3 linked regions of the Macaca fascicularis genome follow. The protein of the gene in region 1 interacts with the protein of each later gene in a pairwise test. Links are inferred from orthologs where the notes say so. Each region holds a gene or a part of one and is shown in the gene's direction. Other genes may lie near its edges.

Region 1 (3,650 bases):
CGATCCCGGCTAACACGGTGAAACCCCGTCTCTACTAAAAAATACAAAAAAACTAGCCGGGCGAGGTGGCGGGCGCCTGTAGTCCCAGCTACTCGGGAGGCTGAGGCAGGAGAACGGCGTAAACTCGGGAGGCGGAGCTTGCAGTGAGCTGAGATCCGGCCACTGCACTCCAGCCTGGGTGACAGAGCAAGACTCCGTCTCAAAAAAAAAAAAAAAAAAAAAAAATATTCTATGTTGTCTTCTTCCAGGAACCTTCACATTCATTCAGACTTTGTAGTTTCCACATTTATTTGTCCAGTTGATACAGCATTTGAGATAGTTTTACTGTTGAAAATTATGAGGACATTTGCCCTCCAACTATGATTGTATATTCCATGATAATAATTTTGTTTCTTTTATACCCTATCAGCAAAGACTGTTGGAATTGTAACGCCCAGAAAACCTGTCTTATCTGTCAGTGCAAGAAAAATTAAGGACAATGCGGCTGATTGGCATAATTTAATCCTGAAGTGGGAAACCCTCAGTGATGCAGGTTTTACCGCTGCAAATAATATTGCCAACTTGAAAATCAGTTTATTGTAAGTACATATTGGTTTTTCATGCTCTAAGTTTTTCACCCTTAATAACTGGGGAAATATCAACATGAATAAATTTGAAAATAAAATATTAAGCAAAAAAAGCAAGTGGTAAGATGACACATGAGACAAAATTATATTCCTTTTTTTTTTTTTTTTTTTTTTTTGAGATGAAGTCTCACTCTGTTGCCCAGGCTGGAGTGCGATGGCGCAATCTTGGCTAACTGCAACCTCCACCACCTGGGTTCAAGTGATTCTCCTGCCTCAGCCTCTGGACTAGCTGGGATTACAGGCGCCTGTCACCACACCCGGCTAATTACTGTATTTTTAGTAGAGTCGGGGTTTCACCATGTTAGTCAGGATGGTCTCGAACTCCTGACCTCACATGATCCACCTTCCTCAGCCTCCCAAAGTGCTGGAATTACAAGTGTGAGCCACCACGCCTGGCTATTCTGATTTTTAAAACCATAGATTCTTTGATTCTTTTGTAGTTCATAGGCGTGATGATTGGGTTTTCATGCTCATGTATGACCTGTGCCTTCCTCAAACTTTGCTATGATGTTGACACAGTATGTAGCTGATATGGAAAAAACTACCATGGATTCTTTTTGTCCATTTTTTGATTTTACATAAACAAAAAACATATGTTAGTGTTTCCTTTATGTCTCGCTTTCTTTTTCTATTTTTATTTTTGGAGATGAGTCTCACTCTATCCCCCAGGCTGGAGTGCAATGGTACGATCTCAGCTCACTGCAACCTCTGCCTCCCAGGTTCAAGCAATTCTGCTGCATCAGCCTCCTGAGTAGCTGGAATTACAGGTGCCTGCCACCAAGCTCAGCTAATTTTTGTATTTTTTGTAGAGACCGAGTTTCACCATGTTGGCCAGGTTGGTCTCGAGCTCTTGACCTCAGGTGATCCGCCCACCTCAGCCTCCCTAAGTGCTGGGATTATAGGTGTAAGCCACTGCACCCAGCCATGTCTCACTGTCTTTCAACATGGAAGCCATCCATGTAATGTAGAGCCACTATTCTGGTTCTGTTCTTTCTCATTGCTGTTTAATAGTGTTTACCCACATTAGACCTCTCAAACTCTGCCACTGGTTTATCAACTAAGTTATGTAATGTTCTCAATCTTTTGTTGTCATTTCAGCAATGTGCACAGCATCTTTCCCAGGAATAGGTTCCATCTCAAGAAACCACCTTCTTTGCTCATCCATAAGAAACAACTCCTCGTCTGTTCAAGTTTTCTCATGAGATTGCAGCAATTCAGTCCCATCTTCAGACCCCACTTCTAGTTCTGCTTCTCTTGCTTTTTCCACTGGCAGAGTAGATTTAACATCATTCTTAAGGGCCCTAGGAGTTTGAGAATGGTAGATGAGCACTGGATTCAACTTAAAGTCACTAACTGCAATATCCCCTAACGAGAGGGTCAACCTGTCTCTTGAAGCTTTGAAGCCTGTCATTGACTTCTCTGTAGTTGTGAATGTCTTGGATGACATGTTCTTCTAATAGAAGGCTGTTTCATCTACATTGACAATCTGTCATATCGTGTAGCTACCTTCATCATTGATCTTAAGTAGATCCTCTGGATAACTTGCTCCAGCTTCTACATTAGTGCTTGCAGCTTCACCTTGCACTTTTATGTTATAGAGATGGCTTTTGTCCTTAAACCTCATGAACCAAATCCTGTTAGTCTCAAATTTTTCTTCTGTAACTTCCTCATGTCTCTCAGCCTTCACAGAATTGAAGAGAGTGAGGGTCCTGCTCCGGATTAGGCTTTGACTTAAGGGAATGCTGTGTCTGTTTTGCTCTTCTGTGCAGACCCCTCAAACTTTCTCCATATCCACGCTAAGGCTGTTTCACTCATCATTCACATGTTCACTGGAGTAGCACCTTTAATTTTCTTCAATAACTTCTCTTTTGCCTTCACAACTTGGCCAACTGTTTGACACAAGAGGCCTAGCTTTTGGCTTATCTTAGCCTTTTTTTTTTTTTTTTTGTACAGATGGAGTCTCGCTCTGTCGCTCAGGCTGGAGTGCAATGGTGCAATCTTGGCTCACTGCAACCTCCGCCTCCTGGGTTCAAGCAATTCTCCTGCCTCTGCCTCTCGAGTAGCTGGGACTACAGGTGCATGCTGCCACGCCCGGCTAATTTCTTTTGTATTTTAGTAGAAATGGGGTTTCACCATGTGGCCCAGGCTGGTCTTGAAATCCTGAGCTCAGGCAATCCACCCGCCTCGGCCTCCCAAAGTGCTAGGATTACAGGCGTGAGCCCCCGCACCTGGCTCCTTATCTCAGCTTTTGACATGCCTTCCTCACTAAGCTTGATCATTTCCAGCTTTTAATTTTTTTGTTTCTTAAATTGGCCAAAGTATAGCTTTTGATTTAAAATGAGAGATATGCAACTCTTCCTTTCACTTGTACATTTAGTGGCCAATGTAGGGCTATTAATTGGCTTGATTTCAATATCCTCCTATTTCAGGAAATAGGGAGGCCCAAGGAGATGGGGAGAAATGGGAGCAGCCAGTCAGTGGAGCAGTCAGAACACACAACATTCATTCATTAAGCTCGCTGTTACATGTGAACATGGTTCATGGCACCTCAAAACAATTAAACTAGTAATATCAAAGATTATCAATCAAAGATCGTAGATATAATAATGAAAAAGTTGGCCGGGCGCGGTGGCTCAAGCCTGTAATCCCAGCACTTTGGGAGGCCGAGGCGGGCGGATCACAAGGTCAGGAGATCGAGACCACAGTGAAACCCCGTCTCTACTAAAAATACAAAAAATTAGCCGGGCGCGGTGGCGGGCGCCTGTAGTCCCAGCTACTCAGGAGGCTGAGGCAGGAGAATGGCGGGAACCCGGGAGGCGGAGCTTGCAGTGAGCCGAGATTGCGCCACTGCACTGCAGCCTGGGCAACAGCGTGAGACTCCGTCTCAAAAAAAAAAAAAAAAAGAAAAAGTTTGAAGTATTGTAAGAATTACCAAAATATGATACAGAGACATGAAGTAAGCACATACTATTGGGAAAAATGGCGCTGGTTGATTTGCCGTACATACATACACAGGGTTGCCAC
Region 2 (3,650 bases), on another chromosome or scaffold:
CAGCGTCACCTGTGCCACATTCTGTTTGTTAGAAGCAAATCACTGAGTCTGGGCTTCACTCAAGGAGGGGAAATCAAGCTATACCCTTTGAAGGGAGGTGTGTCAAAGCATTTGTGGGCTTTTTTTGTTTGTTTGTTTTTTTGGAGACGGAGTCTCACTCTGTCACCCACCCAGGCTGGAGTGCAATGGCACGATCTCGACTCACTGCAACTTCTGCCTCCCGGGTTCAAGTGATTCTCCAGCCTCAGCCTCCCGAGTAGCTGGGATTACAGGCACCTGCCATCATGGTTGTGGGTATATTTTTAAACCATCAGTAGTATGCAGGAACCTGTTTTTCTTTTCTTTTTTTTTTTTTTCTTTGAGGTGGAGTCTCACTCTGTCACCAGGCTGGAGTGCAGTGACGTGATCTCGGCTCACTGCAACCTCTGCCTCCCAGGTTCAAGTGATTCTTCTGCCTCAGCCTCCCGAGTAGCTGGGACTAGGTGCACACCACCATGCCCAGCTAATTTCTGTATTTTTAGTAGAGATGGGTTTCACCATGTTGGCGTGGATGGTCTCAATTTCATGACCTCATGATCCACCTACCTCAGCCTCCCAAAGTGCTGGGATTACAGGCATGAGCCACCGTGCCCAGCCTCTGTTTTCCTTTTGTAGTCCAGCTTTTGAGTTTTTATAACTCAGTCCAGGTTGAGGGGATGCTGCTGTTTTTTTGAGAGAGACAATCTAACATCAGTAGGTTTTCAGACTGCTATGTCAATGTATCTTATAAATCAGATACATTGACCCTCTTTTTACCATCAACCTTTCAAATCCTTGGCCATTACACACTTCTGAGAAACTGCAGCCCACTTACATTTTTGGAATCTAGCAGCTAAAGTGGCAGTGTACAGTAGTGTTACAAGCAGGCAGTAGAGCCCAATAGCCTGGATGTGAGTCCCAGTAATGCTACTTACTGGCTTATGTAATTTGGGCAAGTCCTTTAGTCTCTGTGCCTCAGTTTCCCTATATGTAAAACAGAGCTAATGATAACTACTTGTAGGGTCACTGAGGAACAAATGGGCTGATGTGTGTAAAGCTCTTAGAACAGTGTCTAGCACATAACAAGCACCATGTCAATGTTAGTGGTTACTGTTTTATCTAATTGCCTCATTTTGAGTGAGGCAAACAGCTTGATTTTCTTTTCCTTTCCTTGTATGAGTTCCTGTTTTACATAAGAAAGGTAAAAAATGCAGGGCTTTTGAGCTGCTTTGGCTCTTGTTTGATCCAAGGTGGAAGAAGTAGAACAGCCTGTGTTTTAAACTCATTGCATGTAAAAGTTTCTAATATGCCCATGCTTTTGTGCTCAAGTTTTGATTTACATTTTATCACATTTCAGATAGTAAGACCCACAGTCTGAGAGGTGACTCCATAAAACAAGAAGAGGCCCAGAAAAGCTTTGTTGACAGCTGGAGACAGAGATCAAACACTCAAGGTACCAGAATCCCTGCTTCTGCAGGGGCCTGCATGGCTCTGAGTGATATGCAGAAGAATTGCCCAGGCCTCTGAGAACCGGCGCCCTGGGCAGTCCTTCAGGGAGTCCAGGGAAGTCAAAGTATGTGGCTTAAGCAGAAGACTTTATAAAGTGGAAAGGGCCAAAGGCAGGTATGTCCCAGAGCCTTCCGCACCCACAGGCATCTACCTGGGGCTTAGTGGCAACTTAGAGGACAGTTGGCATCCAAAGAGTCCTTACTGTTTCCTTCTGAGGCCACAGAAAAGATCTCCCATGTCAGAACCTTCTAGAGTCACCTTGTCTTCACAGGTTCCATTTTGATAAACCTGCTCCTGAAGCAGCCTTTGATCCCAGGGTCATCCCTAAGCCTGTGCCACCTCCTGAGTAGTAGTTCTGAGTCTCCTGCTGGCACCCCCCTGCAGCCACCAGGGTTTGGCAGGTAAGCATAAGACTCCTGGAAAGCTTGTTTGGGAAGGAGCTTCCTGGAAGCAAATTCCTTTCTGGTCCTAGCCAGCCTGGGAAGTCTGTGGGAAGGGCAGGGAGCCTGGAGAATTTGGCAGGCAAGCTGTTTGGGGCCCTTGACCTTATCTCCATCCCACACTTACCTATTTTTCTTTGTGTTTGTTGCCAGTACCTTGGCTGGAATGTCAGGCCTCAGGACCACAGGTTCTCAGGATGGGTCATTTTCCCTCTCAGCCCTGAGAGAAGCACAGAACCTGGCATTCACTGGACTGAATCTGGTTGCCAGGAATGAGTGCTCACGTGATGGAGACCCAGCAGAGGGAGGCAGAAGGGCCTTCCCACTCTGCCAGCTTCCTGGAGCCGTGCATTTCCTCCCCCTTGTACAGTTCTTCATCGGCTTACACTGCCAGGCCCTGCAGGACTTGGCAGCTGCTAAGAGAAGTGGAGCACCTGGGGACTCACCGACACATTCCTCCCGCGTGAGCTCTGGGGTAGAGACCAACCCTGAGGACTCAGTGTGCATCCTGGAAGGCTTCTCTGTGACTGCACTTAGCATTCTTCAGCACCTGGTGTGCCACAGCGGAGCAGTGGTCTCCCTATTACTGTCACGAGTTGGGGCAGATTCTGCTGCTGGGGAAGGAAATGGGAGCCTGGTTCACAGGTTTAGTGATGGAGATATGACCTCAGCCCCAAGGGGGGTTGCTGATGACCAAGGACAGCACCCACTGTTGAAGATGCTTCTTCACCTGTTGGCTTTCTCTTCTGCAGCAACAGGTCACCTTCAAGCCAGTGTCCTGACCCAGTGCCTTAAGGTTTTGGTGAAATTAGCCGAAAACACTTCCTCTGATTTCTTGCCCAGGTATAAAGCAGCATAGGAGTCATGATTCTTTGTGGGTCTCACCTGACCTGTTAAGGTCTAACCCGTGTCTCTTGTACTTTGCTCACATCTTGACTTATCTACACTAGTTAGTTCTAAGGCCTGGTTCAGGGAGTTCTGAAGTGATGGGAAGTGGGACCAAATGGGAGAACCAAGGAAGTGGTTTATTTGGTTTTTTTTTTTTTTTGAGACGGAGTCTTGCTCTGTAGCCCGGGCTGGAGTGCAGTGGCCGGATCTCAGCTCACTGCAAGCTCCGCCTCCCGGGTTTAGGCCATTCTCCTGCCTCAGCCTCCGGAGTAGCTGGGACTACAGGCGCCCGCCACCTCGCCCGGCTAGTTTTTTATATTTTTAGTAGAGACGGGGTTTCACAGTGTTAGCCAGGATGGTCTCGATCTCCTGACCTCGTGATCCGCCCGTCTCGGCCTCCCAAAGTGCTGGGATTACAGGCTTGAGCCACCGCGCCCGGCCGTTTATTTGGTTTAATTCTGCCTCTGAACAACAGGTAAGCAGAAGGCACACATGATTAAAGGAGGCTGCTAACCTCTGTGGAGGAGGGCCCTGTCCCAGAACAAGGGCTAAGACAAGGGGCCTCTGAACCTGAGATGTGGGTAAGGTGAAGACCATATATCACAAGCACGTTGAAGTTTAGTGGGTTCCCTAAGGAAGCAGAGGATGTGGGGAGGATCTGCAGGCTGACCTTGCTGGAGTCTCTGCCTGTCATTGTGCCCATCTTTAGCATGCATCTGGGGTGGCATGTTCCTCTTATGGTTTGTGGGTAGTAGTATTACAGTGAACCTAGCGAATGAACACTGATCATAAATT
Region 3 (3,650 bases), on another chromosome or scaffold:
GTCACATGATCTCAGCTCACTGCAACCTCCTGGGCTCAGGTGATCCTCACACCTCAGCCTGCTGAATAACTGGGACCACAGGCATGCACCACCACACCCAGCTATTTTTTTTTTAATCTCCATATTCACATTTCCCAGAAAACAGTTACAGAGTCCCTTTTGTGACTTTGCTGTTTCCTGTGCTCACACTTTTTCTTCCATTGTCTTGCGAAGTCTGACCTGACTTCCAGTACCGGGGTAGGTTATTTGTGAACACTGATGGACCATTTTGAACATGGATCTTCAAGAAGAGTGCAGACAGACCTTAAATAACCAGGAAGCACACTGAATGTAAATCTTGGTACATCATGGGAGCTCAACAATGTTTGTGGTGTTCATTTCCAAGTCTTGCTCTCTTGAAAGCACTAATGCTTTTCCCGAGGTGACCCCAACCTATGGATCAACAAGTATTAGTAATACTATTACTTAATCTGTTTTGTAATAAATCTAAACATGGTTGTGTAGTTCAACCACTGTATTTAAGATTTCCCTAAATACATGGCAACTGATCTTTGAAACATGTTATTTGGGTCCTATATGCTCACTAAAATTTAAAAAAAAAGGACAACTCAGAAACATGAATGTTATCCTACCGATTCGCCTCAGAAATAACCACTGTTAACATTTTAAAATAATTTTTAATCAGCTGAATTTGAGTCAGACCACTGTTGACATTTAAAAATACTTTTTCTAGGCCGGGCGCAGTGGCTCACGCCTGTAATCCCAGCACTTTGGGAGGCCAAGGCGGGCGGATCATGAGGTCAGGAGATCGAGACCATCCTGGCGAACACAGTGAAACCCCGTCTCTACTAAAAATACAAAAAAAATTAGCCGGGCGTGGTGGCGGGCGCCTGTAGTCCCAGCTACTCCGGAGGCTGAGGCAGGAGAATGGCGTGAACCCGGGAGGCAGAGCTTGCAGTGAGCCGAGATCAGGCCACTGCACTCCAGCCTAGGCGACAGAGCGAGACTCCGTCTCAAAAAAAAAAAAAAAAAGAAAAAGATAAAAATACTTTTTCTTCATGACATTTTTTAAGGACAGGTGTTTCTTACTTTTAGCAGTAAAAAGAAATGAGATATTAAAGAGATGAAATTCACAGCTAATCCCTCAATTCTATTTTCATGTATAGCCATCTACTTCTCCTGTTGAACTTACATGCTTTTTAGGTAGCATTTTTGGTATTTTAAATTTTATCTCTTTTTTATGTTCCCTTGTAGAAAGTTGACAGATAATCCCTAAAGCTGTTAATAGATTGGCAATAAGAAGGAAAAGTAAAGACAATATCTAAGTTAACAAGTAGTTGCTATGTGACGGGGAACTGAATGAATTATATTTTTCCCTGGACAGATTTCACAGAGATGATGAGAGCCCTGGGATACCCTCGACATATTTCTATGGAAAATTTCCGTACACCCAATTTTGGACTTGTATCTGAAGTGCTTCTCTGGCTTGTGAAAAGGTTAGAACTGCACTTTATTGATGTCTAAGAGTGAATACTGGATTTTATTTGTTAGTCACCTAGAAAACAGGACATAGTTGTGACGCTGCAAAAGGAAGAGTTGTTTGAGTTTGACAGACCCAATTGTAATCTGTTGAAACGTAGCTGTGGCTGGGCACAGTGGCTCGTTCCTATAATCCCAGCACTTTATAATCTCAGGAATTCGAGACCAGCCTGGTCAACATAGCACGACCCTGTCTCCACACACAAAAGAACAATTAGCTGAGCGTGGGTGGTGCACACTCATAGTTCCAGCTACTCAGGAGGCTGAGGCAGGAGGATCACCTGATCCTGGGAGTTTGAGGCTGCAGTGCCACTGATCATGCTACTGCACACCAGCCCGGGCAGATTGAGACTGTGTCTCAAAAAAAAAAAAAAAAAAAAAAATCAGTGGAGTTTAAAAAATGCTGTGGGAGAGGGAAATATACCAGGAAGTGGTGAAAGGAGACTGACTATTCCTCAGTAGGGTGCTGGGCCAGGCTGCTCTTCAGCCCCTCACTGCAGAGTGACAGGGGGGCCTTTTTGCACGTTCTAATCAATACAGTTGATTAGAAATAATGTAGGTTTCTTTTTCTGTGAAAAATTGAATATGATATATGATTCAGGGTTGGCAGCTTTTTCTGTTAAGGACCAGATAATAAACATTTTACCTTTGCTAAACATAAAATTAAGAGACTGCATACGATCTCTATTGCCTCTTCTTTTTATTAAAATGTAAAAAGAGTTCTTAGTTTGGAGGCTGTACAGGTTGGAGGCTGCAGTCTGCTGACCCCTGGTATCAATACCTTGAAGAAAATAACTTCGTCAACTCTGCTGCTGCTTAGAGCTGACTAATCAGCCCTAGTACTGCTCTGAGTCAAGGGCCGTCAGCCAGGGTAGCAGTTCTGATTAGTTTCATGATATGTTGAGGTCTGAGAGAGATTTAATTTTATAAGCTGAGACCCACATTTAGTTTTTGAAATCTTTTGTTCTTAGGTGGGGATTTGCTCCCTTGGTATTTTGGTTTTACTTTTGAAGTTTGCATTGATCTTACTATCACACTTGGGGACTTGGAGAGCTTTGTTCCAGACCCCCTGTCCTCTCAGTTGCCCACATTCTCTTTAGTGGACTTTCTCCTTGGTTAACCTGTGCTCTCTCCTCTTATCTCTCTGATAGGTATGAGCCCCAGACTGACATCCCGCCTGACGTGGACACTGAACAGGACCGAGTTTTCTTCATTAAGGCAATTGCCCAGTTCATGGTTAGTGGACACTTATTTTGTGGAGTTGTAAAATTAAGTAAACTAGAAAGGATGACTCCTCGTTAGGGCTACTTTGAAACTGAGTAATTGAATTTTTCTTTCTTTTTTTTTTTGAGATGGAGTCTCATTCTCTCGCCCAGGCTGGAGTGCAGTGGTGCAATCTTGGCTCACTGCAACCTCCACCTCCTGGGGGGTTCTCCTGTCTCAGCCTCCTGAGTAGCTGAGATTACAGGCACACGCCACCACACCTGGCGAATTTTTGTGTTTTTAGTAGAGACTGGGTTTCACCATGTTGGCCAGACTGGTCTCAAACTCCCATCCTCACGTGATCCACCTGCCTTGGCCTCCCAAAGTGTTGGGATTACAGATGTGAGCCACCACATGCCTGGCCTGAGTTTGCCTTCTAAAACCATTCCATTGCTGGGTTTCTGTGGCGCCATTTCACCAGCGAAGTTCTTTTTGTTTGTTTGTCTTTTAATTCATTATTTGTTAAGAATTTTGTTTATACCAGGCATGGTGGCTCATGCCTGTAATCCCAGCACTTTGGAAGGCTGAAGCAGGCGGATCACGAGGTCAGGAGATTGAGACCATCCTGGCTAACCACTAAAAATACAAAAAATTAGCTGGGTGTGGTGGTGGGTGCCTGTAGTCCCAATTACTTGGGAGGTTGAGGTGGGAGAATGGTGTGAACCCGGGAGGCGGAGCTTGCAGTGAGCTGAGATCACACCACTGCACTCCAGCCTGGGCAAAAGAGCGAGACTCCATCAAAAAAAAAAGAATTTTGTTTCTTTATTTTTGAATAGGTAACATATTTCGTGGCTCACAGATTGAAAGTAGGCTGGGTTTGGTTGTTCATGCCTGTAATCCTAGCACTT

Evidence for each region.
Region 2: the proteins of CINP (region 1) and ATRIP interact in binary tests that used the Homo sapiens proteins (3 or more experiments, as listed by UniProt). The link is inferred for Macaca fascicularis from reciprocal best matches to the Homo sapiens genes CINP and ATRIP.
Region 3: the proteins of CINP (region 1) and CLUAP1 interact in binary tests that used the Homo sapiens proteins (3 or more experiments, as listed by UniProt). The two-hybrid records come from large-scale screens. The link is inferred for Macaca fascicularis from reciprocal best matches to the Homo sapiens genes CINP and CLUAP1.

Annotation. Positions count from the first base shown.
Region 1 is NC_088381.1:170,470,746-170,474,395, reverse strand, and holds part of CINP (cyclin-dependent kinase 2-interacting protein), read left to right. Parts: intron 1-407; exon of another isoform or gene 408-409; coding exon 410-578; intron 579-1,054; exon of another isoform or gene 1,055-1,158; intron 1,159-2,579; coding exon of another isoform or gene 2,580-2,701; intron 2,702-3,650. UniProt on the Homo sapiens protein: Component of the DNA replication complex, which interacts with two kinases, CDK2 and CDC7, thereby providing a functional and physical link between CDK2 and CDC7 during firing of the origins of replication.
Region 2 is NC_088376.1:111,425,261-111,428,910, forward strand, and holds part of ATRIP (ATR-interacting protein), read left to right. Parts: intron 1-1,375; coding exon 1,376-1,471; intron 1,472-1,798; coding exon 1,799-1,928; intron 1,929-2,120; coding exon 2,121-2,810; intron 2,811-3,650. UniProt on the Homo sapiens protein: Required for checkpoint signaling after DNA damage. Required for ATR expression, possibly by stabilizing the protein.
Region 3 is NC_088394.1:4,278,501-4,282,150, forward strand, and holds part of CLUAP1 (clusterin-associated protein 1), read left to right. Parts: intron 1-1,384; coding exon 1,385-1,496; intron 1,497-2,690; coding exon 2,691-2,775; intron 2,776-3,650. UniProt on the Homo sapiens protein: Required for cilia biogenesis. Appears to function within the multiple intraflagellar transport complex B (IFT-B). Key regulator of hedgehog signaling.